Coturnix japonica: one gene and its partners. The protein of the gene in region 2 interacts with the protein of the main gene of each other region in a pairwise test. Links are inferred from orthologs where the notes say so. Each region holds a gene or a part of one and is shown on either strand. Other genes may lie near its edges.

The links.
Region 1: the proteins of CREB5 (region 2) and RBPMS interact in binary tests that used the Homo sapiens proteins (3 or more experiments, as listed by UniProt). The two-hybrid records come from large-scale screens. The link is inferred for Coturnix japonica from reciprocal best matches to the Homo sapiens genes CREB5 and RBPMS.
Region 3: the proteins of CREB5 (region 2) and FOSL2 interact in binary tests that used the Homo sapiens proteins (3 or more experiments, as listed by UniProt). The two-hybrid records come from large-scale screens. The link is inferred for Coturnix japonica from reciprocal best matches to the Homo sapiens genes CREB5 and FOSL2.
Region 4: the proteins of CREB5 (region 2) and SPRY1 interact in binary tests that used the Homo sapiens proteins (3 or more experiments, as listed by UniProt). The two-hybrid records come from large-scale screens. The link is inferred for Coturnix japonica from reciprocal best matches to the Homo sapiens genes CREB5 and SPRY1.
Region 5: the proteins of CREB5 (region 2) and SPRED1 interact in binary tests that used the Homo sapiens proteins (3 or more experiments, as listed by UniProt). The link is inferred for Coturnix japonica from reciprocal best matches to the Homo sapiens genes CREB5 and SPRED1.

Annotation. Positions count from the first base shown.
Region 1 is NC_029519.1:30,662,801-30,668,988, forward strand, and holds the start of RBPMS (RNA-binding protein with multiple splicing), read right to left. Parts: upstream 3,444-6,188; 5' UTR 2,817-3,443; coding exon 2,565-2,816; intron 2,489-2,564; coding exon 2,450-2,488; intron 2,344-2,449; coding exon 2,281-2,343; intron 1,902-2,280; coding exon 1,751-1,901; intron 1,478-1,750; coding exon 1,347-1,477; intron 1,073-1,346; coding exon 1,010-1,072; 3' UTR 1,003-1,009; intron 892-1,002; exon of another isoform or gene 788-891; intron 472-787; 3' UTR 1-471. Other genes in the region: DCTN6 (dynactin subunit 6), read right to left, coding at 5,557-5,655, 5,723-5,865, 5,963-6,010, 6,153-6,188.
Region 2 is NC_029517.1:30,649,714-30,655,325, reverse strand, and holds part of CREB5 (cyclic AMP-responsive element-binding protein 5), read right to left. Parts: intron 3,444-5,612; coding exon 3,120-3,443; intron 1-3,119. UniProt on the Homo sapiens protein: Binds to the cAMP response element and activates transcription.
Region 3 is NC_029518.1:24,466,546-24,472,652, forward strand, and holds the start of FOSL2 (fos-related antigen 2), read right to left. Parts: upstream 3,427-6,107; 5' UTR 2,867-3,426; coding exon 2,591-2,866; intron 1-2,590.
Region 4 is NC_029519.1:47,744,891-47,751,263, reverse strand, and holds the start of SPRY1 (protein sprouty homolog 1), read left to right. Parts: upstream 1-2,456; 5' UTR 2,457-2,573; intron 2,574-6,373. UniProt on the Homo sapiens protein: Inhibits fibroblast growth factor (FGF)-induced retinal lens fiber differentiation, probably by inhibiting FGF-mediated phosphorylation of ERK1/2. Inhibits TGFB-induced epithelial-to-mesenchymal transition in lens epithelial cells.
Region 5 is NC_029520.1:25,855,362-25,861,591, reverse strand, and holds the start of SPRED1 (sprouty-related, EVH1 domain-containing protein 1), read right to left. Parts: upstream 3,778-6,230; 5' UTR 3,495-3,777; coding exon 3,463-3,494; intron 1-3,462. UniProt on the Homo sapiens protein: Tyrosine kinase substrate that inhibits growth-factor-mediated activation of MAP kinase. Negatively regulates hematopoiesis of bone marrow.

The DNA of each region.
Region 1 (6,188 bases), on a different chromosome or scaffold from region 2:
CCCCAATGCTGGCAGTGCACTGGGGTGCAGAGGCGATGCTGATGTCGCCGGAGCACTGTGAGCACCACAGACTGCTGAGGCAGCGTACGTTCTGGCCTGTGGATGGGAGGAGGCAGGCTGCTAAGGGCGTGCTGTTGTATGTTGAGCACCAGAACTCTCATCCAGCCCGGTGTGAGATTGTCCTGTTCAGGAGTTTGGTACAAAAATACTTGCTCTCGCTTTGCTTTTTTTTCTTTTTTTTTGCAGTCTGCTTTCCTAGGGGTTGTTTGAAAATACTTTTCAAACGCTACAGCAGTGCCTGTCAAACCATGCTTTCAGCAGTAACACGCTCTTTCTTACAAATATACAGTGTAGAAGAGGGAAATATTATACGGGGTATGCTTCTCGCTTTCTTCTAGAAGAACAGATGTGTGATAGAGGCTGTGGGAAAGTCTTGGAGGAATCCAGACTTGTGTGAGGTTTCTTCCTAGCCTACAACAAGAATGGCACGGGTTACAAACACAGCCGGGCTGGGGAGGCAATGCTGCCTGGGGGAGCAGCAGCCAGCCTGCCCCTGTACAGGCACATCTCGTGGGCATGGGGCAGGCGTGGCACTGGGACGTGGCTGTTCAGGAGGGCAGAGTTAGGTTGTGTTTTTAGTTTAAGAGGAGTGTGACCAGTGTTGCTATAGGGCAGGAAGCTGTATGGCAGAGAGGGGGTGGGGTGACAGGGCAGTTGGAACTCCCACCCCCGCTGTGGATGATTAAGCATGGGGGGACAGCCTGTGCCCGAGCACTGCGCTCCTTACCAGCACACTGTGGTTCTGCAGAGAGCGTGCGTGCCCAGCAGCCGCCGGGGGGCTCTGTTCATACCCACAAGACTGACCGTCGGCCGCCATCACACACCCGAGACCTGTGGGTGGCATGGCAGGGCTCAGGGATGGGGCTGGCACGTCCCCCTTCCTACCCAAGTTTTGGCTGGCACCGCAGGTGTGCTACACGGAGGACACCGGGGGGCACTTACACAGCATTCAGCAGAACTGACGGGACTTCCAGCCCTGAGACCCAGCCTCGGAGGGAGGGAGCCAGCGCATCTGCAAGACATGGGGGCAGGGGGTGAGCAGGAAGGAAAACTGCAGCAAAGGGTAGTGCAGCCATACCCTGGGGCTGCGGTGGCTGCAGTGCTGATTCCTCCAGGAGGAGCACAGGTGCTGCCTGTCAGCGCTGCCTTGACAGGGGAAGTATGAGGCTGCAATAATATTTACCATTGCTCTTCCTCTGGGCAGCTGGCCCCAGAGCTCCCCTCCTTTCCCTCCCTCTTGCTCTGCCTGTCAGAAAGGCTGCAGTGCTGTGAGCCAGTGCCATTACCTGGGCATGCAGCGAAGCAGGGTATGTGAACGCAGGAGGAGGTAGAGCAGGCGTCAGCTCCGCTGGGTACAGAGGGTACGGCCCCCACACTTCAGGGCTGCCGGGGTAAAGTGCAGGCACTGTGAGCTCATCTGCAGGAAAAGGAGGAAAATTAATCCTAAAAGCAAGGGGAAAGTGGACAGCAGGTATAAGCTTTGCACTTCTGCCCAGGCCACCGTCACCTGCCCTTGCGTCATCCCAAGCACAAGCAGCTGGTTTCCAAACCCAACCACAGTTGCCGTGCCTCTCCAAAAGCTTCCCTGCACCCAGCTCCTAAGGTATCACTGCCCCAACTGCTTCAGTAAGAAAGGGGCATTGCCAGGGCCATATACTGGGCGGACCAGGGTCAGGATGCAAGCACTCACAGGGCTCCCTGGCGATGAACTGAGGTACAGTGTTGGGGAGGGGCGTGCTGGGGTTGGGAGTGCCCATCAGCTTGCTCTTGGCCATCTTGGTGTTGGCTTTAGCAAACTCTAACCGCAAGGTCTGGGGGATCTCAGGGTCGAAGCGGATGCCCTGTGGAAAGGAACAGGGCAGCAGAGGTCAGTTAGGCTGAATCTTGTGGTAGGGTGCTGCCCCCCATTCAAGAAGGCCATTTGGGCTAAAACAGCCTCGGATTTTGTCCCAATATCCCCACGGGCTGCTGGGGTGGCCGTGACCTCATGTGCTTGGCAGCGAGCATGGCCCCGTGGCTCACATTCCTCTGACATCCTCGAGCTCAGCACCATATTTGGTAGTCGGTATCCCGTGCAGCCACGCTCCCAGCAAGGGATTAGCGGCGTTTTGCCTCAATGCAAGGATGGGGAGGAACCGGGCTTCCCCAGGAGGTCTCCACGGGGTAATAGATACTGGGATCCATCTCTTTTGGTGTTCCCTAGGGGGTCCCAGCACTCACGTTCAGTGCATTCTTGGCGGCCTCAGCTTCTGAGCGGCTGTCGAAGCTCACGAACCCCACGGGCTGCGGAGAGAGGAGGCGAAGGGCGGTCAGGGCCAAGACCCCACCACATCCCCAGCAGTTGGTGAGGGCAGCCCCCAGGCAGGTGGGGGCACGGTGCAGCCCATACCTGCTTGGAGGTGAGCTTGATAAGTGACCCCTCATAGCCCTGCGGGAGAGAAGAGAAGCACCATTGGTTTCATTTGGCCTCAGAGGCCCTCAGAGCCCCATAGCGGGTGCAGTACCTTGAAGGGCCTGAAGAGCAGGTAGAGCTCGCGGGGCTTGATGTCCAGGGGCAGGCCGCTGACAAACAGGGTCCTCACCTGCAGGGGCAGAGCGTCAGCTGGTTGTGGGCCTGCAGGAGGCTCCCCAGGGCCTCCAGGCCACGCTCCTGCACACAGCTCTGTGCTCACGGCCTCAAGGAAGTGCCCGCTGTGAGCTGTGTTCCTGAAAGCTAAACCCGCCCGAGCCTGACTTTCCGGGTAATTTAGCCCCATGGCTGCGCAGCAGATAAGAGAGATAAAGGCCCTGAAAAAAAACCCTCCGAAATTAGGCCTCACAGAGATGCGGCTTCTCCTCGGTAATGACTTGTTTTCTTTGAAAGTTCAAACGCAGGTCGGCCAAGTCGGGCCAGTGCTGCGGTGCTCAGTGAGCAGGGAGAGAAGCGCAGATTACAGCAGGAGCTTGAAGGGGGGTGGTGGGGGAAATCCCATTTAGGCTTTTCCCCCCTGCCCAAAACCAGAGACAAGCAGAGGCTGGGGAAGGAGCTGCGATGCGGTCTCCCCAGCAAGGAGCCGTGGGGAAAGGCTGCCCCTGCTCTGCCACGGAGCGGGGCAGCTCCCTGACAGAGGCTGTGGCTCTGGAGCCTTCCCCGGGCCCTGCAGATGCTGTCAGTGCAGGCCGGGGTGGGCAGTGGCAGAATCCCCTCTGTGGGGGCTGGGGACCCCTCCCGGAGGGATCCTTCCACGCCAGTGGGCTGACACCCCCCATGGCAGCCCCACCACCCTGCCGCGCTCAGCCTTTCTCCCCGGCTCGCCTTCACCCCTCACCATCCCTCGTCACAGCCCGGGACTGTCACCAGGCGAGGGTGGTGAATGTGCTCCGGAGCCACCCCGTGCCCACCCCACCGCACCCCTCTGTTTCTGCTGCTGCCCACGGACAGACCGGGGCGCAGCCTCGTGCCTGCTCCGTCCCCTTCGCGCTGTCCCCGCCCGGCAGGTTTTCTCCTCGCCCCGGGGACATTCGGGGAGACCTGGCGGGCCTCGCTCCGCCCGAGAGCGGCCCGGAGGCGGCTCGGCACAGCAGCGGCGGCCGCGGGCGGTGCGACGGGCACCGGGTCAGCGCCGTGGCCCCTCGGCTGCCCCAAGGACGCGGTCACGCTCCGCCGCCCCAGCGCCGAGCTCCGCCGGTCAGCTCGGGCAGGAAGGGACCGTCGGGAGGAGCGCGGTGACTCATTCCCCAGGCATCCGATCACCTTCCCCGGGCTCGCTTTAATGTTCCACCAGCGGTGAGCCGCTCGGCTGCCCCCGCCCCGACCCCCGCCCGCGGCGTGACCGCGACCCGTCCTCGTGCCCGCGCACTCGGGGTGAGGGCGCGGCGGCCGGGCAGCGGCGGCACCGACCTCGCGCTGTGCCGGGAGCGGTGCCGCCGAGAGCCGAGCGGGGCCGCCGTCCCGGCTCCCGTCCCCGGCCAGGCTCTGTGCGCGGCCGCCGTGCCGCCCGACGGGACCTTGTGCCGCCGCCTCCGCTCCGGGGGACGAGGCGCCGTGCCCGCACCCCGCGTGAGTCCAAGCGCCCCGCGTCCCACAGCCCTTGTGCCGAGGCGCACCCGGCTCCGGGCCGCTCCGCCTCCCCCCCCACCAACTTCCATAGCTTCCCGCCGCGCCCCGAGCCCCACGCCCAGGCTGACGGGACCCCGCGGACACGCGTGGGGGCCGCACCGCTCCCGCCCCGGGACCCGGCCCGCCCTCGGCGGCTCCCCCTCCCCCGCCCGGCCCGCTACCTCCTCTTCGGGCAGGCCCGGCTCGGCGGGGCCCTCCCGCTCGGCGGCGCCGCTGCTCATGGTGCCGCCGCCGCTCCGCCACCCGCCCGCGGCTGCCTCCGGCGCGGCCCTGCGGCGGGCGGGAGGGAGCGGGGCCGGGCGGGGCGGGGCCGGGCGGGCGGCCACACGGCGCTGGGGGAGGGACGTGGGGACACGGGGTGGGACGGGGCCGGGGACGGGAGCGGGGGTGGGACGCGGAGCTGGGGCGACGGGACGCGGGGTGGGGATGGAGGACAAAGGGCTGCGGTCTGGGACGTGAGGTTCGGTGCGTGGCACGTACGGCTGGGGACGAGGACGTTGGAGTTGGGACGTGGGACGCGAGGTTGGGTACGTAGCACGCGGGGCTGGGGACAGCGATGGGGACGCGGGCCGTAAGGCTGGGAGCACGGTGTGAGCACATGGCACACGGGATGCGGGACAGAACGTGGAACAAGAGGTGTGACACAGCTGGGAACACAGGGCCGGAAGGCGTGACAACGGCTGGTGTGGGGAAGCCAGTGGGACACAGGCGGCTCTCCTGGCAGCGTGGCTGGCCCTGCTTTGGGGAGGTGGCAGCCCTTGGGCAGTGCTCGCAGCCCCTGTTTGGACTCAGCCTTAGGGGTGTCTGCACATCCTGAGCAGCGCTGCACCCACATTGGGACGGCGAGGATCAGATGCCCACTAAAAGCTGCAACGTACCATCTCCCCCTCCACACAGACAGGGTGGGCCACGCAGGACCCCCGCACACAGGCAGGGCCCACCTGCCCACACCCCGCTGCAGTCCTGCTGTCTCTGAGCAGCCTCTCCTCCACACTCGGCACACGGCGAGGCCCGGCCTCCCTCTGCTGGCTGCTGCGGGATCCGTTGCCACACTACAGGGCTCAGGGTGGCTTCTGGCCCACAGCTGTGGTACAACAGCACCACGAGGTTAAAAGTGGTGCTCAGCGCTCCTGGCAGCACATTGCAGCTCCCCATCACCACCCAGCCCTGAGTTTGGAGGAAAGAATGGCAACCACACCCTGCAGCGAGAGCAGAACCACTTTATTCCCATAAAGCACGTGGAATGTTAGAGTTGGTGTGAGGGAGACGACAGGTCCAAAGCCTGTGGGGGCTATAAATAAAACAAAGCGAGAATGAAGGATGCAGAGCCCAGCTGCTTCCCGGGCTGTGCCCAAAGGACAAGAGGCCCCAGGCATGCAGCTGATGGCAGAAGGCTTTCAGCTCTTAACAGGTGTGGCCGCAGCCTTCATCGTCTTCTTCAGGTGATGGTAATTGGGCAGGATTTTCATCAGAAAGTCCAGCTGCAGCGTCTGGGGCTGCAAACAGAAGTGCTGTCAATGGGCAGCCACCAGGGGAACCTGGGGGCAGGGGGACAGCACCTACCTGCGGCCGCTCGGTCTGCACGCGGCGCAGGCAGTCAGCGCCATAGATGACAGTGTTCTCAGGGATCACCTCGTAGGTGTTGACGTTGCAGCAGGCCCCGATGATGCAGCCGCTCGTCAGGATCACGTTCCTGCCAACAAATGCTGTAAGGAGAGTCTCCGTGAGGGCCACCCTGATTAGAACCACGTGCTGCTGCTCTAACAGCAAAAACTGAGCAGAACAAAGACAGCCTGAGCTCACCTTTGGATTCAATCACGTTGTTATCTCCCACTTTCATTGCCTGTGAATCTACAGGTTATTGTCAAAGGAAAATCTTTTGGTTGAAAAGGTGTGCCCCAATGCCACTTTCAAACCAAAATCTGTCCCGTAAGCACCCCCAGGCTGCTCGTGCCTGGGCAACATCCACATGTTTCCCACAGCACAAGGATACAGCACCCAACCTCAAAGACATTGTTGGTGCCAATGA
Region 2 (5,612 bases):
GCAAAGGCCCAAACCTCCAAGGTGCTTCCTTTTGACTTTAGGGAATGGACGTACTCAGTGCTTTGTCAGATGGAGTCCTGAATTTCAACTGCAGCAATTAACATTTGTTTGGTTAACACACCTGTCTGTCTCAATTAAAATGATACTATCAGCTTGCAAGGTTGCTTTTCTGTCTAGAATCTCACCACAAACTTTGAAGCAGAACTTGCTCCTTTTCCCAGCTGACTTGTGTCAGTTAGAGTGGCAATTTTATGTATAATTATACTGTGCATCTGATAATGCCTTTCACATAAAGCCAAATTTACTCTCAGCTTTCTGTTGCACAGTCAGGTAATTTCCATTCTGTAGGAGCAGAAAAAAATAAAACCAAACTGACAAACTTTTAAAACTAAATAAGCCACCTTGCACTTTCTGCCTGATTCTTAACATTTTAGCTTGTATGAAGTCCTTCCATTTGCAATTAAAGCTTCTAATCCACTGCAGACACGGGGCGTTGTTCTTATGTTGCAGCCTCCATCTCTGCCATAGGAGATGTCCACTGAGGGATACCAGCTGCCCTCTGTCCTCCAAGGCTGAGCGTGCTAAACACTTTAGCCCTACATTCTGTTAGAATATATCTTAGTAACTGTCTAAGCATCATTCTCTAACAGGAGGTCTCCATTGCCTATGGACAAACACATTTTAGTAAGAAAGGAAAGGAACATATATTAATGTTAATTATTTTTAATAAAATGCCTATCATATGTCCATAATCAAGACAAATGTAGGAAAGGCAATAAACTGAAACATCCCAAACTCTGCTCTACCTAAGCTATCTCTCTTGTTAAGTTTGATATGAAGAAGTGTTAATGTGGCCAAAGTGGCAGTAATAGTATCAATTTTTGCACTAGCTGAAGCAATACAGTTACAGCTTGGTAAAATAGGTCTTTCTCAGAAATATATATATTAGAAGATTATTTCTATTCTTAGCCTTGATCTAATGCTCATCTCCACTCTTTGCACCATACTACAAAATTAATACCCATCCATTCATCCTGGGAAGACACAGCTCACTGGGCTCCTGTGCATCAAAGTGGTAGGTGAAAAGCATGATATGAATGCTGACATTACAGAATGGTGTGGGGTTAAACAACGAAATTTATGTCATCGGAACACATGGCCCACAGCAACATGGACCCTGATGCTGCTTGGCAGGTGGCTTAGAACTAAAGAGTCCGTCTCAGAAGAATAAGGAAGTTAAGAACTAGTAAAATTCACCATAAAATCAACATCTGCTGGAGCAATTTGATCTCCACAGTGGCCAGTCAATACCATGGAGACTACAGATGAGCTTAGAAAGTAATAATTATGTTTATTACTCAGCAAACTCTTGTTTTCTCTTCATGTGTCTATTCAGAAATCACTCTTGTCTTTGCACTATGAGAACAGGCAAGCAGAAAAAGCTCTGCAGCCTGGGGAAGCAGATGATCCCAGGAGTCTTACTCAGATCCATCAGCTATTGCTTCCATCCACAACCTTTTGGTGACACTTACACCTCAGGTCAAGGTGAAGACCTACTTGGTCCCTACTGGGGACCATTGCCTTCAGTGACACTGTGTTCCCTGTAAAGCTCACGTTACCACAAAGAGCTCGCTCCAGAGTCTCAGAGGAACCGGGACACATCTGACACAGCTTTGTTGCTGCCAGTTGGCCTGCCTGCCCCAGTGCTTGACTGCAAGACTTTTGGAGTACCCAGCTAGCAGTGAATGCAAAGCACAAGGAATCTAGACTGTTCCAAACAGAAAGAATCAAAAATGGCTTCAGCAGCACAGAAAGTTAAGAAGGAAAGGCAGCTAAGACATTGGCTCATTGGCTGGCTGCCTTATCCTTAAGGGCGTGAGATTTCACCTGTTGCCTTATTTGATGCATGGAGTGTTTACTCTCTCATGGATCTCCTAGAGAGCCATCCTCTTCTGGTTTCTACGGTATGAGATAACATCTCTTTATTGGAGTTTTTAAACAACTCTAAGGAAAATAACTCATTAACAGATGGGAAAATAATTGAATTCACAAAGTAAAAACTGAACTAAACTAAGGAAAGCTCTGGACATCTTCTCACAGGGGAGTCTGCTGATCTCTTATTTAGACTGTTTCTCTAATGCCGACAATTCATTTTACATTAGCAAATGCTTTGGGGAAATGCCATGTGCTTGCAGTCTCTGCAATAATAAAGCTAGATGTTAGTAAATAGTTAATGTTGTGGGACACTGGGATGTCAGCCAAATCTTCTCATTTTCTTTAATGTTTTCTAAGAGCTTGTCTGAAAGGCATTTGCAAGCAATGCAATACTTCACAGATTGAAATTCTTATGGCTGGATCAGTGTCCTGATTGTATATACTACCCACCTGCACACCTTACATTTGCTCCCTAGACCTGACACGCTACATTCACTGGACCCAGAGTTTTATTGTTCTTGTGCAATCTCCTTGATACAGAAGCCTATCATCTAAAGCATCAGCAGGATTCCTCTTAAAATTACCTGCCAAAGTCCTTGCTCAGTTCATAAGTTCAAGAAACCTTTCAGATATTGAATTATCCAAACTGAGGAAGAAAATATACCTGGTCCAAAAGTGGAGACCTACATCTCATTCAGTGAAGATCTGCATTGATTTAACATCATCTGAATCCAGTTCAGAATTCCTTTCCTAGTTTAAATCCCTGAACTAGCTTTGTCTCTTTCTATACTGTTACCTAATCATACACCTCAGCTAGGAGTTGCAATCCTACTCCCTGAGGTCTGGAATCCTTTTTCTCTTCCCCTAAGCGTACCTTAAAACTATCTATCTCTACTATCCACAATCTAGACAGGAAATAAATATGCCATTGAGTTCAGTGAGGTTGTTCCTTCATGTATCAATCACACGCACACACATACATAAATTCCTTATTTTGATTACGCATATGTGTGGCTACTTCACTAAAGATTGTGCTATCTGTTTCTGTAGACAGAACACATACAATTCTTAAATCTTGGCCTGAGAAGTTTAGGTTCAAGTACATTGTACAATGTATACAATTACACAGAATCATAATATACTTCATTCATTAAAGAATAATGTGGCAATTTGCAGAGGTCTACCTGTGCTTGTCCGCCTGAATGCAGCGGGGGGTGCGGCGAGGTCTGGTGATGTGCCGGGTGTGCGTGAAGGTGCGAGTGGGAGTGGTGGTGGGGGTGATTCTGCTGGTGATGAGGCTGAGGATGAGGATGGTGCGCTGGGTGCTGGTGCTGGTGGGGGTAGGAGTGGTGAGGTGGCAGTGTCTGGTGTTGATGAGGATGTGAGTGCATATGATGGTGTGGCGTCTGGTCCTGCCGCGAGCTCATCATTTCCATCATGTGGCCCATGGTGTTCATATTCCCATTCGACATGGCGGCAGGGTGGTGAGTCAGTGCTGCCTTCAATCTCTGGAACAAAGCAAGGAAGAAAATTTATATGTGGATTTCAGAGCATTCAGAATAAGATTTCTGTTGTTGTAGAAATGGTGCCTTGTGTTTTGGGATGCTTTTTCTTGTTGTTCCCTTGGTAAACCACATCTTATTCCATTTTGAGAAAGAACATATTCTTGGGCTCTAATCTAATTTTCCACCATGAGTATGTAGAGATGCAAACACATGAATTAAAACTTAACATTTGCACATTTCCTACTGTGCTGCTGAAGAGAAATAACTTGCTTTCCTCCTTTTCTGTTTGACCAGCTCAGTACCCTTAGTTTCATCAAGTTGTTGTTCTTTCAGTTTTAAAAAGAAAGGTCTTGATTAAAATAAAGGTGAAACAAAGTCTGATATTTAGTTCTTCTCTCCTTTGTACTCTGGATTTTATTTAAAAGACTACTTAGAAATACACTGCACTGATGTGTTTTTAAAGATTAAGTTTGAAGTATTCTACAATTGTAATAGCAGTTAACCTGTGTTGTTATTTTTTCTTCATTAGAAAGACAAGAAAATTATAAGGGTGGTCCCAACCTGATCCTTTTTTTTTGCTAAAAGTTCAAACATATGCCATGTTATCATGCGCTAAACTCTTTTCTCCTCATGTTTTGCTGGGTCCTGGAGCACTGACCAGGACAATGCTTTCCTTAACATCAGTGGGATTCTGTCACAAACCACCAAAGAGTAATGGGAAGGGCTGCTAGATTTTAAGCTACGAGGTATGGTCTGTGCGTACCAAGATGATAAACAAATGAAATAAAAAGAAATAAAAAGGTTCCTGTTCAGCACAGTTGCAGGGTCACCCCAAAGCTGCGAATTATACTGGAACACAGCCACCTCACTGATGTAATCCTGCCCTTCAGACTACTGAAATTACCAGTGTTTTAGACAAGTGTGCTAAAGTTACAGCTTGACAGGTGTCAGCTAGGAGAAAGGCTTCTTTTTCACACAGAGAAACTTCCTTCATACCCGTAACTCCATGTCTTGCTGAATGTAGATCATTCTTTCCAGACAGACACCCAAGATCTCACTTTGAAGAAGCCAATGAGCACTTGCTCAACTCTCACTAATGCAAGTAATTAGTCAGCAGAAAAATAGCAGGAAGAAAATGCAAGGAAGGAGTTCCATGGTATTACTTGATTCCAGACTAGCATGTTCTGAATAACCCATGAAGTAGTTGATAATTCATTATCCAGCCAGACAGTGTAATGAGGAGCAGACATCTCATCATTAAGAGCGATCATTTGCAGGAAAGCCAGCAAGAAATGGTAGTGGTACAAGGAACAGAGGTGTACATTTCCCTGTGTCAACCATTGTAGGTCACAGATCGAATTCAGAAGATCCTACAGCCAATGTGGATAACTCTTGCCAAGTGGAAGAGTAATCACAATATCATAGAGTCACAGAATAACTGAATGCCTTGGCATGGAAGGGACTTCAAGGATCATCAAGCTTCAAACCCCCATCTGAAGGCAGGGCTTCTAACCTCCATATCAAATACCAGAACAGGCTGCCCAGGTCCCCATCCAACCTGGCCTTGAACACCTTCAGGGACGGGGCATCCACAACCTCTCTGGGCAGCCTGTTCCAGAATTGAACTGCATTTTGGTTTTGTCTTTAAAGACAAACCAACTTGTCAGGGAACACAGGATGTGTATACAAGAATTTCAGTCTGTATTGAAATGACATCTGTCTGTGCAACTCTATTGCAAGGTAATGGGTAAAGTTCGGTACGTTGCTTCACTAACGATCAACACGCTGAATGATAGTTTAACAAAAAGAAAACATATGAGCACTTTGTAGGACATACCTATGTCTCAGATGTATTATGGAAAAATAGATCACTGACTTAAAGATGTTTCTTCACAGAAAGCCTCTCAAATTGTTGCTACACTACGACTCCTGACAATCTTCTCACATTGATGCAGTTATAGCAGCAAAGTTAAGTATCTCCTACCCTACTGCCGAGCACTTATTCCCTAAGTCCAAACCGAGTCTAACAGTCAGCATCCACAGCAGTAACCTGTCCTGGATATAAAGGTAATCTTGAGTAGCTCTCATCCTTCATGTTTCTGAGAACAAGTGCTACCCTGGTTATCCCAAACAGATCTTCACAGTGCTCCAGATATCAGGTGCTACTCTGGA
Region 3 (6,107 bases), on a different chromosome or scaffold from region 2:
TTTCAATGGTGAGACCGGGCCTTACAAACAGGCACGCCTTGCTCCAGCTGCCTCCGCACCCACTGCGGAGGGTCGGAGCTCGTAGGACCCGCAGCCTGCAGCATTTAAATGGTCGTGCGGAAAACACCCGCTCTAAGGTCAGCACAGCAGCCTCGTAGGGACACGAGAGCCCTTGCATCAGCTTGACCTCAGCCCAGGTAAGTGTCCTAGATAAGGGACAGCACTTCACAGGTTTCCTTTTCAGGGTGTGCCTAGTCAAGCACCGTGCCCAAATGCTTTGTTAAAGCAAGGCTACTGCAAATAGTGTTCCACATTCTGATAGCAACAGCACTTTGGGCTAGTTTTATCCAGAAGACACCCAGCTGCCAAAGCCTGCAGACCAGAAGATCCAGTTTGAACGCAGATAAATGCCAGTTTACAGCTTTGGATAGCCCTAAATCTAACAAGAAAGGACAAGAGAAGGCAGGAGCGCATCTACTGAAGGGAGTGGGGAAACAATGCTAACAGGATGGCACTGAGACTTGGCAGAAGCCTCACCAGAACCTCTGAAGCTCACCTGCAGCTGGAGCCCAATGCAACCTCAGTGCACCACACACATCAGTAAATGCTACCCTCATGAGCACTGGCAATGGAGGCCCAGAGCTGAGCACTGTACACACCTCAAAGGAATTTACTGGTGAAAATCCCCTTCTTTATACTCTGCCCAGTGTAGGCTGTGACCACACGGCCCGCAAGAGGATGGCTCAGTGACTCCACAACCATCACATCGTTATGAAAAGATCTGAACTTCACAGCAGGGACAAAGTGCAAGACAAACCACAGGCGCGGAAATCAAGAGGTGCAAGTTCTGCTGCCAGTTCCACGAGTGCCTTCCACTGTGACCTTTGCCTACTTGTGCCACCACCAGCCTTTCCTGCACCCCAACAGAGAGAAAGAAACATCCTGCCTTCTTTATACGGATGCTAGAAGCTATGACTGCACAATGTATTGAGATTTTTTGGTGCTTTGCTATGCAAAGACAGCATTTGTGTTCCAGAGATAAGGACCTTTGTGGTGGTGTAACACCACTGTAGCCTCCACCCACTGACCTGCTACAAACTCCCATCAGAGCCCAGGAGAGTCAGACCCATCACCAGATCAGCCATGTAAGATACGAACATCTGACACAAGTCAGCCCCAAGTTACTAGTCAAGTGGCTGTCACCATCTGAACGCTGTAGAAGCCACTGGCAAACACCCCTTTATTTCACCCAGAGGGTTTCTGCACCCCCAGCACAGGCTTCCTGGACAGCAAAGAGAGGTGCTCAGCTCAACCACATTTCTCTGCTCACTTTCAGGCCAGGGTACGAGGCCATGCTGGCTGCAGCCTGTCTGTGCCATGCCCCATTGCTGCCACCGGTTTCCTTTTTCATCCCTCCAAGTATCTTAAGAATTCCCTCAAACCCGCATCCTGTACTCTCCAGAAGTGGTATTTTCCCCAGATACCTAAGCAGGGGGGCACATTGCTGAGCCTGCAGATAAGGACACCAGGGTTGCTGCTGGATTTTCCCTATGCTGTGCTTCCCACATGGCCAAGCCTTCCCACCAGGACACCTCACCACAGCCATGCCCCGTGTGCCTGCCCCACCTCCTCATACGCTGCTCCTGCTCCCAGGGGCACCCCTCCACCAGCTCTCAGCTCTCCTTATCTACAGGGACAGGTTGGGCCACAGCCAAACTGTGGGGCCGCACGCACAGCACGCACTCTGCTGCTGCTCTCCACCCGACCCAAGCAACACGCGGACACAGGTATCATTACACAAGCAGAACAAGGAGCGAGGAGGAGGCCTGTTGTTAGGAGTGCAAAGAGCTGAGCCCAGCCCTGGCTCTGCCTCACCAGAGCCGGCCCCGAGGAGGCCCTGGCCCTGCTGGGAGTGACACGCTGCAGGGCTTGCCCAGCTCGGAAACAGAGGAAGGAAAACACACACCAAAATACCTCCCCAAAAATCCACCTAGAGAGTCTTAACTAACACTCAGTTATCCAGTACAGAGCATAGGGCCAAAGCCTCTAACAAATAAAAGGCCCCACCAGTTGTCCCACACTGAACGCCTCCTTGAAGGACTGGACACAGCGCTGGGATATCAGGGGAGAGTTGCCCAGTCTGAGAGCACACAAATTATTCCCGTGAGGGGCTGTGCGTACCACATGGCAAGGCAGCGATGGGGAATAGAGCACGGCACGCAACTTGAAAGGAAAAATGTTCCAGTGCTGTGCTGTATGGGAAAAATAATTAAAAAGCATCAAAGTTTTGGCTCACAGACACAGTTTCCACTCAAGCATGTGACTGGTGCGTCTTCCCTTGCTTTGGGAAGAGGAAAAAAAGAAAAAAAGCCGAAGAAAAAATTTCTGCAATGCATATTTTCTGTGGCGATAAAGCCCCGCAGATCTGCCCAGCCCGGAATCAGCAGAACGGCCCCATTCCTGGGGGAAGGCAGCACTCGCATGTGATCCTAATCTACAACATCTGCAGGGACCGAGGGAAAGACGCCTCGAGATATCTCCGAATCCCGAATGCTCCTGCCAAGTCCCGAGCTGAGCCCGCGTCCATCACCTCCGGGTCCATCACCTCCGGGACCGGGCCGTGCCGTGGGACGCACCAGAGTTCGGGCACTGCCAGAGCACACGAGGGACGAGGAGAGGAACAGTTATGAACCCCTCGGCCGGCCTGAGCTCCGGGGCACGTGCCGGAGGACGGAGCGCAGGGGCCGCTGTCATGCGGAGCGCCGGATCCCGCTGCCGGACACGGAGATAGATGTGCGAGCTCGGCACGGCCCGCAGAGGGCACCCGAGAGATGCGATCGGAGGCGGCTGGGAACCGCAGCGTCATTTCTGGTAAAACTTCTTTAATGGGAGGAATGTCACGGGCTGGTACGGTTGGCAAAGTTTGAGACCGGACTTTTTTCTTTTTGGGTCTTTCTTTTTTACCTTCCCCCTCTTCTTCCCCCCTTCCTGACGATCTTACGGCTTCTCGATGGGAGGCAACAAGGCGCACCCGCCGCCAGCCCGATCGCACAGACCCACCCGAGAAAGAATAATACCGGGAGAAAAGGGGGAGCGCGACTCCGAAAAAGCCAAAGAGTGGGGAGAGGCGGGTCGATGTAAACAAGTTATGAAATAACTTCGGTTTGTATAACTGCCCCGGTTGTGTAACGCCTTCCACCCAAGTGGTGGATTGGGGCTATATGGGCGAAGAACCCATTTTTGAACGTTTTCTCGAAAAAAAATGGATAGACGGGCAAAGGAACGTCGCGCCCTTTGGGCCCGGCTTCGAGGAAGCCGCTCCCGTCCCCGCCGTCCCACTCGCCGCCCGAGCCCCGCAGCCGAGCGGAGCGGCCCCGAAGGAAGCGCGCAGCCCCGCACCGCCCGGAGCCGGAGCGTGACGCCGGGGCGGCGGAGCAGGGAAAGAGAACGGCCGGGAGCCGCGGGGATAAGAGTCGGTCCGCTCGTGTGCTCCGTAGGGGAGACGGCCCGGAGCGCCGCGGGACCGCTCGGAGAACCTCCCGGCACAGGGAAGGGGAAAGGACGGGGAACCGCCGCGCTGCCCAGGGGCGCCGCCCCGCCGGGAGCTCCGGGCGCGGTCCCCCGCACCCCCGTGGGTCCCAACCGCCGGGATGCGATCGCTCGGCTCCGGCCGCGCTCCACCCGCCGAGTCGAGTCCACGGCGCCCACCCCGCCCGAACGAGAAGCGGCGGATGCGGCCCTACCTGCTGCGCCGCGCCGGCCGAGTAGGGCTCGGGGTGTCCCGGGGAGCCGCTGCTGCCTCTGGAGGAGGTGTCGAAGCTCCCGGGATAGTCCTGGTACATGGTCCGAGCCCGGCCCGGGGGAGCCGCGTCCCCGCCTTCCCGCGCCGCGGCCGCCGCTCCCTCGCCGTCTCCCCGCCCCTCGCTCCGTGCCGACCTCTCGGGCTCTGCCTCGCGCCTCCCGCAGCGGGAGAGAGTCGGCGGCGGGAGAAGAAGAAGGGGGGAATAAAAGGAAAAAAAAAAGAAAAAGAGAAAAAGCGGAAAGCCGACCAAAAACTACGGCGGGCGGCGGAGCGCTGAGCGGGCGCCGAGCGGGGTTCAGGCAGTCGCAGCCCCGTGCGCTGCGTCCCGTCCCGTCCTCTCTGTCCGCGCCGCCCGAACTCGCCCCTCCGGCGGCGCGGCCCCGGCCCTGGGGCTGCGGGCGGAGCGGCTCCCGCCCCCGAACGCCCCTCGCTAAAAGCGGCGCTCCCGCGCGCGGTGACTCAGAGCCGCAGCAGCAGCAGCGCGGTGCCCGCCGTGACTCAGGGCACTGGCAGCGCCCGGCCCCACGCGCCGTTTATCCGGCCCCGCGCCGCCGCCGCCGCCGCACCATGTGCACCCGCACACGTCAAACCCGCGGCGCTGCCGCTCCGCCCCCCCCGCCCCGGCCCGGAGCCGCCCACCTGTCCCCGCGGGTGGGGACGGGCCGGCGGGCGGTGACTCCCCGCGCTCCGCCCCGGCTCCGCTCCGCTCCGAGCGGCCCCCGGCGGCCCGAGCGTCCCGCGTCGTTCCCTCGCTCGCCCCCGGCTCCGTCCCGCCGGCTGCCGGTAGGTCCCCGTCGATGTCTCGCCCCCCCGCCCGGCCGTGGCCTCTTGGTGCCGTCCACTGTCGCACGTTGCCAAAAATGGGCATTTGCGTCGCACTACGCCAGCGCGGGTTTCCTTGCCGCGGATGACGCGCCCAGAGAGGGATTCCCTGCTCCGCACCGACGCCATTTAAAGGGGCAGCGCGCCCTCCAACATAGCGGGACCACCGGCACCGGGCGCTCGGCAACACGCGGGTTCCAACGCCGTGCGCCGTCCCCTACGAACGTACAAGATGAATTCCGTTGTGCAACGGGCTCTCCCTGCACCCGACGGAACAAGCGAGGGCTTGTCCCCCGCACAACCCGTCCCTGCCCCAAACCCGGCCGCGGGGCCCCCTGTGAGACAGACGGAGGGAACGTGTGAGCTCCCCCGTCACCCCGGTACGGCGGTGCGGGCTGTGGCTGTGCGCTGTTCCTCAGACGGCCCGTTGTAAACGCGTCCCGTAGTGACCCCCCGCCCGGCTCCCGTTGTTCTGGGGAGCAGGGGGTGACCTGCGGCACCTGACACACGTGCAAAGGCGGCCGAAGTTCCGTGAAAGCAATTCCGTACCGCACGGACAGCACCGAGCGCAGCAAAACATGCTGAGCGCTGCTGCTTCCAGGCAGCACTGAGAGTTCCGAGGATGATCTCGCCCAGGATGTTATTCCATCTTTCCACCACAACCCGCGCTTTTTCCGTCTCCTTCCCCTCGCTGCTATGTATGGAACTGCGGGGAGCAGAGCTGTTCCGTCTGTGGTCTGAGGGGATGACCAGGAGGTGGCTGCTCTGGACAAGGGCTGTCCCTGTCAGGCAGCTCCATGCTGGAGTTATTGGCACCACTGTTTACCCACGCACCTTCCCCCTGCCCATCAGCTGATCCAGACAAAACACTCTTGTTGCCTCTTCCTTTCCCTCAACTCCTCCTCGGCCCAGCAGCTGCTGCACTCACTGAAGGCACTGGCTCTGTGCTGCCCGCATCCTGCCTTCATCCTCCTTCCATCCTGCGTCCTGCCTGCATCTTGCATCCTGCCTCCATCCCACATGCCTGCCTGTATCGTGCCTGCATCCTATATTCCTGCCTGCATCCTCCCTGTGTCCTGCATTCCTGCCTGCATCCTGCATCCCACCTGCATCCTGCCTGCATCCCACAGCCCCGCTTGCATCCCCACCTGCATCCTGCTTGCACCCCTGCCTGCATCCTGCATCCCCAGCTGCATCCTGCCTGCATCCTGCATCCCTGCCTGCATCTAACACCCCTGCCTGTATCCTTGCCTGCATTTTACACCGCTGCCTGCATCCCCACCTGCATTCCTTCCTGCATCCTTACTTGCATCCCTATCTGCATCGCTACATATATCCCCACCTGCTTGGTTGCCGCAAACCCACCCTACAGCTCAGCCCGCTTTCCAAGCAGGTTTAATAACACTCACTAAAATACCAGAGGATTCACAGCAGGAGATGTTGTTTGTGGATGCAAGTTGGTTTGAAGAGAAACAATAGTTGG
Region 4 (6,373 bases), on a different chromosome or scaffold from region 2:
ATGATGCTCTGTGCAAATCCCGTGCTGATGGGGCATGGCAAGGGTAGAGGAAGCTGAAAGGTAAAGCACGGTGCTTTCCTTTGTGTTGTCTGGTTGAGTCAGAGTTAGATGGATGCTTGTGAGTCCACGGATAGGAAAATTAGCCCTCACTGCAACAGGCAAGGGTGAAGGAGACTGGCTGTAAGGCTTTTGGTTGTCTCTTCTGTGTTTGTGCTTAATGTTGTTGGGTTGTTTGAAGTGAATTATAATTATTTTTATCTATTGTTTTTATCTATGAGCAAAATCTTTTGCTTTTGCTGATACTTGACATGAAAGAAAATGGTGAAGGTGATCTCATAAATACAGCTCAATAAAGATCATTTCCTAAGGAGTGGGTTCAAGACGTATGCAGCATTGTAATTGAATTTGGGCATACTTTTGAATGGCGAGTTGACATGTGGAAGAGAAATATTTCAGCAGAAAGCTGCCCCTAATGTTGGATTTTGTCTGCTCCTTCTGCAACTTCTGCCTGTTCATTTATTAAATTTTTCTGTAGGAAACCAGGCCATGCATTTTCTCCAGGGCTTTGTGTATTCTTTGCTAAGTACTTTAAATGGTGTCATTCTTGCCTGCAGACTTAAACCCAGCACCTGCAGTGTTCTGACAGCAGAAGGAGACGTGTTTTCTCTGTTAACCCATCCGCCAAAGAGTGCAGCGATGCGGGAAGAGTCTTGCTCTGTGCTCACATGGCAGGACTCCAGCAGGAGCGCAGGTGCTGCGAGGGAAGGCAATGGCAACCAGATGACATTCCTTCCCCTTGAGCCAATGCTCAAACAGATTTGGGGTCTTTTCAGCAAAATTTGAAGCTAGTGCATTGCCTGCATGTGGCTGTGTGAAACCCATAGCAGAAAGGCTTGGATTCCACTCACCATGAGGCTGGAGGAAGGAGGAGGTTCTCACTTCCCTTTGCAGTCATTGGAGAGGGATGAGAAGTCTCAGGTAGTGATTCAGCACAGCATGCAGGCCGTTGTTCATCGCTGGCAAAAATGCATAACTGGTGGTGATGACTATGTTGAAAAAGGGTGGCTGAGAATTTGCTCTATCAAATAGTGTTGTTATGTTCTTTGTAGCTGTTGTTGTTTCTGTGCAAATATGTGGCATTACTTTCAGAGAGACATGCCTCCATCCTGTGTGCATGAATAGGCCAGGACATGCTGCCATTCTCAGTACCTGTGCCTGTGTGGCATGGCTGTGTGGTCTCAGCCACAACCCCTTGATGGCTTCGTCTCTTTCACTAACACAGAGAAGTTCTCACATCCCTGTCTGGGGAAGCAAACGCCTCCATGGAGAGTGGCAAACTCTTTGATAACCTTCAAGGTGAAATACTCATTGTCTCTCGCTTTATCCAGGAATGGATTATCTGGGTTGTGGAACAATGAGGTCATGTCTTTTCTCTACACTGCTGGAGAGTGCTTCAGGTTTCACACAGGGTAGCTGCTCCCGTCCAGCCTTCTCTGCTTAATGCCATGGAAAGCAGCTTCTCTGTCAGTGAGCTTTCCCAAAGCTGAGGATGTGAATTGTGTCTATTTGGCCTCACGTTGTTATGCATGAGGCATCTCCGTGGCGTTTGGATTGCTGTGTTAGCTGGGAGCTGGATGTGTTGGGTGCAGTAAGGTGAGGCGACCAAAGTCATTGGGCTCCTTTCAGGTGAATGTCCCCCTGGCTGCACTGCCACAGCCCAAACCTGGGCACCGCAGCTTTAATGGAGAGCTGTTGCCTTGAGAGTGAGGGATCCCTAAACAGGGCTGCAGGTGTGAAGGCCAAGGGGTGCTTAAGTAGATTAGAACACAAATACAACCTTGAATGTGCTGGCATGCTTCCTCACCACCAAATCAGCAAGCTCTACCCTTCTACCCTACAGATTCTATCTTTCAGATGGTTATGCTCTTTAATAAGCAGGACCCCTAGAAAAGAAAAAGTAAAAATAGAAAATCATATTAAAAAATTCTGTGTTGATTTCAAGCAAAGCACAAAAATACCAGAGATCCCATGAATACTGAGATTACGGTGGTGTGCACAGGATGCTGCCACACAAAAAATCTCTGTGACAGAAAATCCTTGAAATTTGGTTTACAGAACTCACTGCTGTTTTTTGTACAAACATGTAACATAACTCATCCACCTCTTTCTTCTTAGTGTCGTGGAAATCTTGGTTAAGCTGTCTGAAACATGTAGAAACAACTGGTTCCCTTGGTCTGAGCCCACATCCAGGCTTTCATCATCCGTAATTTTGGTAAAAAGCTGCTTTTGTTAATGTAACGCATCATAGTAACCGGTTACACTTTCACTACAAAAGGGTGTTTTATTTTCCCGAGGGATGAATAGCAATCGAGGGTCAGCTGGTAGTGCCAAGTGCCTTGATAACACAATTGGCTGCATAGAGCTTTGTTAGGCCCCTCCGTGCTTGCTGGGGAGACTTAAAAGAAGATGGTGGGAGAGCTGCTCCCTGCATACTTGACTGCTGAGGGTCTGAGTTTTTCGCCGAATCACAGAATTGAAGGGATTGGACTTTGGTTTGCCTGCTGGATAAGAAGGTAAGTGCCTGAAGCAGAGCCCAAGGAGCCCTCACTGCCTAACAGTGGGGGCTGGGGAGGAGAGGAGACGGACACAATGTTTGAAGATGACTGTATGAATTTCTGCCCTGAAATCAAACACTCACTGATTTTAGTTTGGAAAGATAGGGGCTGAGAGAGTCGGTGGGAGGCAGAAAGTGGGAGTAGCGAGTGTAATCAGAGCAAGGGCTGATCTGTGTCATCTTGATGCTGATTTCGGTGTGTTTGTGACACACAGCTGTAGTCACCCTGACCCATGTTAGGAAGCATCTCTGTTAAACACTCAGTGGGGTCTGGCTTTGATCTCATTAACCTTATCAGCGCTGGATTAGCAAATGTGCTTCTGGAGCCTGACTCTCAAATACTTAAGTTGAGATTATGATTCATTTTTTCTTTCTTTCAAAGTAAAATCAAATCCAAGATTAAGTTGGACATGAGCCAGCAGTGTGAGCTTGCAGCCTGGAAATCCAGCTACATCCTGGGCTGCATTAAAAAAGGGGTGGCCAGCAGGGAGAGGGAAGTGATTGTCCCCCTCTACCCAGCTCTACCACAACTGTGTCCAGACCTGGGGCCCCCAGTACAGGAAGGATGTGGAGCTCTTAGAGTGGGTCCAGAGGAGAGCTGCTAAAATGATCAGAGGGCTGGAGCAGCTCTCCTGTGAGGAAAGGTTGAGGGAACTGGGCTTGTTTAGCTTGGAGAAAAGAAGGCTCTGAGGAGACCTCATTGCAGCCTCCCAGTACTTGAAGGGAGTGTTTAAACAGGAGGGGGAACAGCTGTTTATGAGGATGGACAGTGATAGGACAAGGGGGAATGGTTTTAAACTGAGACAGGGGAGGTTTAGGTTAGAGATTAGGAGGAAGTTTTTCACGCAGAGGGTGGTGATGCCCTGGAACATGTTGCCCAAGGAGGTTGTGGATGCCCCATCCCTGGAGGCATTCAAGGCCAGGCTGGATGTGGCTCTGGGCAGCCTGGTCTGGTGGTTGGCTGCCATGCATATATAGCAGGGGGTTGAAACTCGGTGATGATTGTGGTCCTTTTCAACCCAGGCCATTCCATGATTAAGCTGTCCTAGGCCAAACCCACTGGCTTCTGCATTGGTCTCACAGTCTCTGGGTAGTGCAGAGAGGTGGCCTTCATGGAATTCTATCCCTGAGGTGAGAGCCAGTCCCCAGATGTCATCTTCCAGTGTCATCTTTTCATTGGAGTAAATAAAGAATAGAATAAAACCCCTTCTCAGCCAACCTGTACAGCACTATGGGTTACTTCCTTGCATTGCTTGTACCTGTTGTGGCTATAATGGAATGAAATCATGGTATTTTTACAGATTTTTTTCCTCTTGGAAATATTTCATTATAATTATTAAATAATTATTTGGCAGCAGTCAGCACTGCTGCAAAAACCTTTTTCTTTCTTTTTTTTTTTTAATGTTAAAATGAAATGTCTTCTGGATCTTCCAGAAATTTAGTAGCAACTAGTGGGGAAAGGAGGGAAATTCTGCCTGTTTTCCTCAATGAGAACAGAAGGAAAACGTTGGTGAGTAAAACTATGAGAAAATCTGTGGAGGAAATAAAATTAATAGAAAGCATGTGTGGAAAACTTCCTCCTTCTAAGTGTGCTCATTGTTTATTTCTAAACTCTACATGAAAAAACAATGAGATGGAGAAGAAAAGCCCACAGTACATCATTAAGCTCAAAGAAGTTTTATTTTCCTACGAGTATTTGTAGCCATCAAAAGGATCCAGTACCTCCAGCGGGCCGTTTTGTACCTCCCTGCTGTTTTTCATGGAAGTTTACGTGGTTGTCCCCTGAGATCATGTGATAGGAGATGGTTGCTTTGTGGAAAATAACATGCTAAGCAGATGTGAGGTTAGAACCTTGGGCCCTGTGAAACAAGGGAATGCAGCTGACTTTCAACTGTGAGACAGTAGGAGTAAGGTCCCAGAACAGCACTGATAGGGGCTGAAGCAGAGCTAATGGCTTCAGGAGAAACTGAGGCAATGCCCTGGGCCGTTCCTGTGGCCATTCCTGCTGGCAAGCTCTGCCACACTGACCAAACAAGTTGTAGGCAGTTTGTACTTAAGCATCCACCCTGGCATATCCATAGTGACTATCTTAAGTTAACACGAGATGATGTATTCTGAATTCTGGAAGATGCTGGCACGGTGTGATGACAAAATCAACCTTGTAAGTGAGCATCAGCTGGAGAAGAGGGGTGTTTGTAAATCTTAGGCTTTTTTTTTCCCCCATCCTTAGAGCTGACATGTTTTACCCTAGTCCTAAAAAAAAGAAAAGCCCCAGTGCTGTAAGAAAAAACCTCCATAGATTAATTTCAAAAAGAAAGTTCCGTGTTACTGCATGCTGTCTGAAAGTGTGTGACTCTCAAGAACATCCAAGAAAAGCAACCGGGTTTTTCCTGGGGATTCCTTCAGAACGAAGTGAGGCCTACTTTGCTCTGTGTATGCTTTCGGAACTGTTTATTTGATTGGTGTCTTGGAGATGGCTTTGCACAAAGATGCGCTCTACACCTTGAAATGGTTTCTGTCAGGATTGGACTCTTTAGCTTGACGTTTTGGGAATAGCCAGTACCTTCTACTGTTACTAGTGCGCTGTAATTTTAAGCTGAATTTATCCTATGACGTTATCTTGGGGACCACGGGAGACACAACAGCTGAGATGAAGCAGAAGTTTTGAATTCTGTTTGGAAGTGAGCTAAGAACCTGTGGAGCTTGTGACTTCTCATCTGGCATGCACTGGAGCAAGTGGTCTCTGGATGGATAGATGGATGCAGCTTTTGACATCTCTGATTAGAAAATAGAGAGTAGAAGTCAGGTTCTGTACTAGCTTTGTGCTTCTGCTTTTATATCAACTACAAGAAAGATTTCCTCCCACTCCCCATGACTTTCACAGTAGCATATATGGAAAGAAAATAATGGTTGTTGCAACTTGCTAAGACCCCCCACTTTTAATTCATTTGCCCTGTGTTACGTAATAGCTGCAAACAAGATGTGTATAATAACCTCAGGTTTTTAATCTCTACAAAACACAACTATTTGAAAGGGTGGTTGAAAGGTTAAGCTAGGAAGAAGAAACTAGTACTATAATAACTGTATTAAAACAACAACAACAACAACAACACAGATTTAACATGTTATATAATCTCTGTTTAACTTGCTCCGGGAAACTCTCCAGCAGCCAGTGTCAGTCTCAATTTTGTACAAGTCTGTACATAACCTTTGTAAGAATTTGTATGAAGCTGGGTGGGGAAACAGTGAAAGAAGAAGTTAGAACAGAATGTAGTCTGACTAAAGTCTTGCTATGATATGGAGTGCTGAAAGTAGTAATGGAGGCTCTCTCCTTGGAATGCCTACTGGTGAAACAAGCCCTCTGTGCAAGTGACTTCTAATGCCTTATCACAGGCAGTGGACTTCCCAGTGCAATCTCATTTCACTTATGACATTAAGTGGCATTTTGAAAAGCTTCTAGGTATATTAATTCCCTAAGTAAGCATTGCTCTTGAAGATTGTGCTCAAAAGCATTCTCACTTCTCTCAGCTGGACTCAGCAATGCTGTGGGAACAGCCAAGTGTGTTTATGAGCCTGTTGGTTACATATACAGTACCTATCAATTTGTGTTTGCTGTGTTGCTTACAGTTGCAGTGATGAATTTAATGACTGCTAGTAACGCAGTACATGGACCATACCACAGAGGTATCGTCCAGGAGCTCAGTCCCTGCCTCTTTTATACCTAGAAGCTGTTGGCTTATCTCCCCTCTTGGAGCACAG
Region 5 (6,230 bases), on a different chromosome or scaffold from region 2:
CAGCTTTGCTTTCAAATCAGCAGCACCTGAGGCTGTTTAGTCCATCGCAACCTAGAAATGGTTAAGCACACAGCTATAAATTAAGGAAGCACCAGGTATATATAATCTCCAAAGTCAAATAACCTAGGAAAATGACCACAAGAATGCCTGTGCTGGTGGAGCAAAACATACAACAGCCTAAATCTGTAAAAGAGTCCTCAAAATATAAATCCAGAGCAGAGCCATTCCCCCAAAGAGAAAGGGGCCACCTGCAACACAGAGGAAAGTAAACAAGCAGGGAAGCAGCGATCCTGCTTCTCAATAGAGCAACTCAGACTCCATCTTAATCCTGTCATCATTCATCCCCGCTCAACAGGCACTACATAACGCAGCACTTCTTCTGTTGGGTAACAACACTGAAACTCAGAAGCATTTCCAGACAGCACTAAAAATCTGCCATCAGATTGGGAATTCTGTACAGTGCTTGCTGACCTGCATGCTCTGACATTATTATGTTAAGTTGCATGAACAGCAGATTGACCCACGAGGCCACACGTCCCACTAATTCCTTCATTTGAAAACTAAGAGCATTTGTGAGCGCTTCATTGTGTTCTCACTGACCACACAACAGCACCGAGAGGAAAAAAGTAATGCAGAAATGGATCTGAAAAGGTACAGAAATACTCTCGTTTATCTAACGTCTAACTGACAAATGCAGTGAAATCTTTACAAGAGCGGTCAAAAATCAGCACAGAAAAATCCAGCTGTGGCAGTCAGGATTTTAGAAGGCTGCCTGACACGTGCTCATGACTGACAGGAAACCTAATAGTCCTTAATGCAGCTTTTTAATTAATCTTCTGCACCACACGTTACAGTTGAAAAGAATTTAATATTATTGACTCCAGGCACCACAAACCTTTATGTCTTACTCCATAAAATGAAGCTTTGTAATCACAGCATAATGCTCAATTACTGGGATATTGCTGGTAGCCACGATGTCACCAAAAACACTGCCAAGTACCCGTATTTGCTCTTACATGCAGTGAGATTTGTTAATGAATTCAAGGCCATTGATGATATCAATTATTATGAAATTAAGCACAGATCTTCTAATATATGATGTATTTCAGCATGTAGATCTGCCCTATTTTCACAAATAATTTCAAATTTCAATCCTATTTCCCAGTCATTCATAGCAGCAATCCAGTGCTGTGTGCACAATCAGCAGAGAGGAATGACTCCGGCCCTGCCAGAGCTGCTGTCAGAACTGCAAATGAAACTGAGGGAAATAGATATATATGTACATATTTCAACCCTCCTCCCCCCACACCCCGAGTTAGAATGCTTGTGACATTCTAGGAAGTAAAAATATCTTCTGTGTGAGAAAAAGCACTGCTGCTGATAATGCATCGTTAGGTTATATACATTGAGCTACAAGCAACGCTGAATGAACTCAGACTAAACGTTGCATGACAGCTTGTTCCTCCTATTTCAAATAACACTCGGTAAAGCCTTCAGGTATTCTCCCACTTCCACCAGAGACAGAGCCTCCTCCACCCCACAAGTGGATAATTAAGCATCACCTCCGTGTAATTTGTTGAGGTAATGAAATGGTGTATTCACGAGCAACGAGCAGCTCCATTTTAGCACTGGCAACTGCAGAGCAGTCGCACCGAACGGTCACGGTGGCTGCTTCAGTAGTCCTGCATTGCTGCATTTCAGTCCTTTTTTGTTTTCCTCCTTTCGTAAGGAAGAATTAAAAACATTTAAAACCAAAGTTAGGATTTTGACCTTTCAACAGCTGACGCCACATTAGAACGTTTCTGTCATTCTGGTAGCCCGGAGGTGAGGTGCAGGCTGCCTCCCGCACTGCCATACACCCCCCCGATCCGCAGTGCCTGTACGGCCCGCCTGCCCGGGGCTCCCAGCGCCGCTGCGACGGCCGCTCGCCTTCCCCTGCCCACGGCACAGCGCACATACGAACGTCGGTCATTAATAAGGACCGAGAAGCGTTTAAGGCACCGTATGGAAAACACGTTCGCGTGAGTGGATTCGATCTTCTTTATTTTATTTTTGAGCCGACGCTTTCGGCAGGGGGAAACACGCTGACGTTTTCTGAATAAACCCTTCCGTGCGGCGATGTGCGCCTGTGCCGCGAGAGGCATTTTCTGAACCAACGCCGCTTCACATGAACGAGCCGAGCACGAACCGAGCGTGGCCCGAGCCCGGCCCGGCGGCGCCCCCCCCCCAGTACCCTGGGCCGGGTGGCCGCCCGGCTCCGCACGGACCCCCGCGCCTTCGCCGTGCCCGTCCCGCGGGCCGCCCGGCAGCTCTCAGCGTGCAGGCACCGCAAACTGAATGGACGGCCAGGTACTTTATGAATGGAGCGATCACGTGCTCCCAGCACCTCCCCGGCTGATATTTCCCACATAACCGTGTCAACAAGCGCTGCACCGCACGGCGATGCGCGGCTCCCGAGCGGCCCCGGCCGCAGCCCGCCCGCCGGCCTTCCGCACCGCGCCCCATCGTCCCGAGGGGCGGGCGGCAGCGAGAGCGGCGTGCCCGGCCGGCAGGTCGGATGGCGTTGTGTTTTTTTTATGAATGGAGATTGTGGTATGCAAATGAGAGCGATTCACAAAAAAAGAAAACATGGCGGCGGCTCCGGCTCCGGACCCGGCCCCGCTGACACCGCAGCGGCGCGGCCCGCCCCGGCCTCGCTCCCGGCCCGGCCCCCGCGGCTCGGCGGGGCGCTACGGGCCCGGGCCGCGCGGCTCCGCGCCGGGCAGCGCCGTGGGGCGGCTCCTGCGCTCTTCCGCCCGGGTGGCGGAGGCGCCCCGCAGCTCCCCAGCGACCCGCAGCTGCCCAGCGGTGCCCGCACGGCCCAGCCGGGGGTGGCAGCGGCAGGGCGCGGGGCCGCCGGCCCGAAGCTCCGCGGCCACCCGAACTTTATTGCGATAAAAGTAGTTTCAGAACGCCCCACGATCGCGTTTCGCCGTCCCGAGGCACTCCCGGGTTCTCTGCCCTCCGTTCATCTCCTCTTCCTGCCCCAGAGATTTATTTCTCTATTTTTTTCTTAGTATTTTTAAGACGTTACGTACGCTGGGCTGCAGCCGCACGACCGCGCATTCTGCTCTAGGTCCCGACACGTTAAAAACACTGAGATCCCTGAGCTGCCTCCTCTCTTAAAAAAAAAAAAAAGTCCCAAGTCCTCATTAGAAAAAAAAAAAAGAAAAAAAAAAAAAAGAAAGAAAAAAAAGCAGGGCTCCGGGGCAGGTTTAAGCCGTATTTACACGGACTGACTCATCCAATTAACATTCAGGAGCAGTTTCCTGCAGGATGGAGCTCCCACACGCCCGTTTCCATGCGGAACACACCGCCGAGCACCGCGCTCCGCAGCCCGGCCCGGCCCCGCCGCCAAGGGGCGACACCGCCACGGCCCCGCGCACCGACCCGCGCCCCCGTCCGCGCACACGCGGGGCTTACTCGGTGTTAGCAGCCGCCGTCTCCTCGCTCATTTTCCCCTCACCGTGATCCGAGGCGGAGCAGCAGCAGCGGGGCGGCCGGGGCGCAGCCAGAACTCACCAGAAACTTCACCATTGTTCCCCCCCTCCCGCCCCCAGCCGCAGCCGGGCCGGAGCGCTCCGGGTCCCGCAGAAGCACGAAGCCGCCGTATCCGCGCGGATGGCGTGACGGCGTTACGGCGATGCGGCGCTGGCGCGGCTCCGCTCTCTCTCTCTCTGTCTCCCGCAGTTACTGGGGAGCGGCGCGGCGGCGCCCAGGCACAGCTCCCCGCCGCCAGGCGCAGCGCCGCGCCGTCCTCCCGCTGCCGCTCATCGCTCGCCGCGCTGCCGCCCTCCTCCTCCTCCTCCTCCTCCTCCCGCCCTCTCTTCTCCGCCGGATTCCTGCAGACGGCCGCGGCCCGGAGACGGGGGGAGGGGAAGGGGGGCTGGTGCCGAGGAGGAGGCTGGCGGCAGGGGGGAGGGCGGCGTTTTAAGGCGGCCCGGGGGTGGCGGTGGGGGGGGGGAGGGCCGGCAGCGAGGGGCTGCGTCACGGCGGTGCGGTGCGATGCGGGAAGAGCGTGCGGCAGGGAGAGCCCCCGGCCCGTGCAGGGCTGCGGGAAGTTGGGCGCCGCGCTCCTCGCTCCGCCGCCCCCTCACAGGAAAACTGGGCGGAAGCGTCGGCTTCGGGCTCCTTCCGCCGCCACCGCGCGATCCAAAATAACCGCAGGGGAGCGGGGCGGAGGGAAGCGGGCGGCCCCCCCGCGCACTCCTCCCTTCCACCCCCCCCGCTGCCCGGCCGGGCCCGCCGCTCTCCCCGAGCTCCGCGGCCGCTCGGCGCTCCCAAAGTAGTTCCCGCGGCGCTGCCTCACGCCATTCCCGGGAGCCGCCGCCGCGGAGGGATACGCGCCGCGCCGTGCGGTCCCGGGCCGGCGGGGCTGATGGGCGACACGAGAGGGGCCCCCGCCGGGATCCCCCGCGCCGGGCCCGCGGGATGGAGGAGCGAAGCGGGGCAGGTAAGAGCGGGGAAGCGGCGCGGTGGGGGCTGACAGTACAGTGCGCATCCGCTACTTCTCAGGCACTTCTCCCAACTCCAGCCCCGTTCCGTTTTTCCTGGAACCGCTCATTCCCTCCCCGTTGCCGCACGGCAGCGATGAGCTGTCCCCTTCCTGTGCGGAAACGCTGCGGTTCCCACGCGGTCGTCCGCGGGCTGCTGCCCTCGGGGGGCGGGGATGCGGGGGGAGCGCCTGGGGCACCGCCGGCAGCGGGGTGGGGAGCGCAGCCCTGCCGGGGCTGTTGGAGTGATGTCCAGAGGCTTTTTCTGGACGGCTTTTCCTTTCTTTTTTCTTTTTTTTTTCGTGTTTGAAAACTATGAGAAAAAGTTGATGTGAAGACAAAGTTCCTGTCAGGTTATTTTGGGGGACTTCTTTTTATAGAGGAGGTTCACAGAGTCGTTAAAGCATTTTAAATAGAACTCGTTTTATATATATATATATGCCTATATAATCTTCTCTTCCAGGCAAAAGAAGGCAGTTTACGTTCACTGTAACATTCCTGTTCCAAACTCCAAACGGGCTCTGCCATCAGCGTGATGGAGCAATCACAGCAAGCTGCTGTCACGCCGCTCTGCTCAGTGGCCCACGTGGCACGTGTTTGCACGCATCCCAAACGTGCCCTGTGATGCTCTCTTCCTTATCAGGGCAGCTTTTGGAGGAAAATTTCTAATTGTTTAGTAAAAACATTTTTTTTCCTAAAATGGTATAGTAAAAAATGGATCGGTTATTCATGGCACAATCTCATCTAAATACTAAAAATATACCAGAAACCCAGTTTTGCACAATATTATAATTCACAACGATTCAAATGTATGATTTGAATATAGGGACCTCTTGCCTGCCCCCGTAAAAACATGGTTTGAAACTCAGCTGTGGGGACATCGCATTACTCTACCTAGCAGCAAGAATTCTTTTAGAGTACTTTCTGCCTTGTGATGGGCACATAGTGTCCTGTACAGGAGTGCTCAGGAACAACTCCGTTTGTCATACAGCTCTATTCAGACACCTCTGAAGAAAGAGACAGGATCACGGCAAAAAGATAGAGAAATCTGCTGTATTTTAAAAATTCCTTAAATGTATTTATTGTAATATCACTTCTCACCACGACAATTCAATAAAACAAAGTTGTTTGTAATCTAGCACAAATAGTTAAAGCTTATAAGAATGCCTACATTGAGAATAGAGTGTGTATTCATTTATGAACTGAAAATGGGATAAAAGTCATGTGACTTTTATGTATCTGCATGGAGGAGGTAAGTGGAGAAGAGCTCATTGCTTCTTTACATCTTGTAGCTCTTCAGCTTCTGCTCACAATCTCATGGCTCCATACACATAGCAGAGGTCTTACAAAGAGTTTCTGTCTCTATCTGAATGTCACAAAGAAGACAGAAAACCTGTTGGCTTGTCTTGAATCAGAAATCCTCCTTGTCTCTGCTGAAATTGGGAAGATCAAAGAACACCGATATGGAGTGGCCTTTTGCTGGGCAGCAGTTGGTTTCAGAGCCTTCCAGTTTTGTGTTTTGGAGCAGAAAATCAGGCATTTCATTGTCAGTGGCTCATTTGAAAAGTATGTTTGAGCCCCGCCCATGCAAACAGGGCAGAAGCAGACCAGGCACAGGTGACACCATCCAGAAACCTCAGACTGCCACTTCATGTTGTAAGTGCCATGTGCCGTGGGATTTCTCTTCCTCCAAGAGCC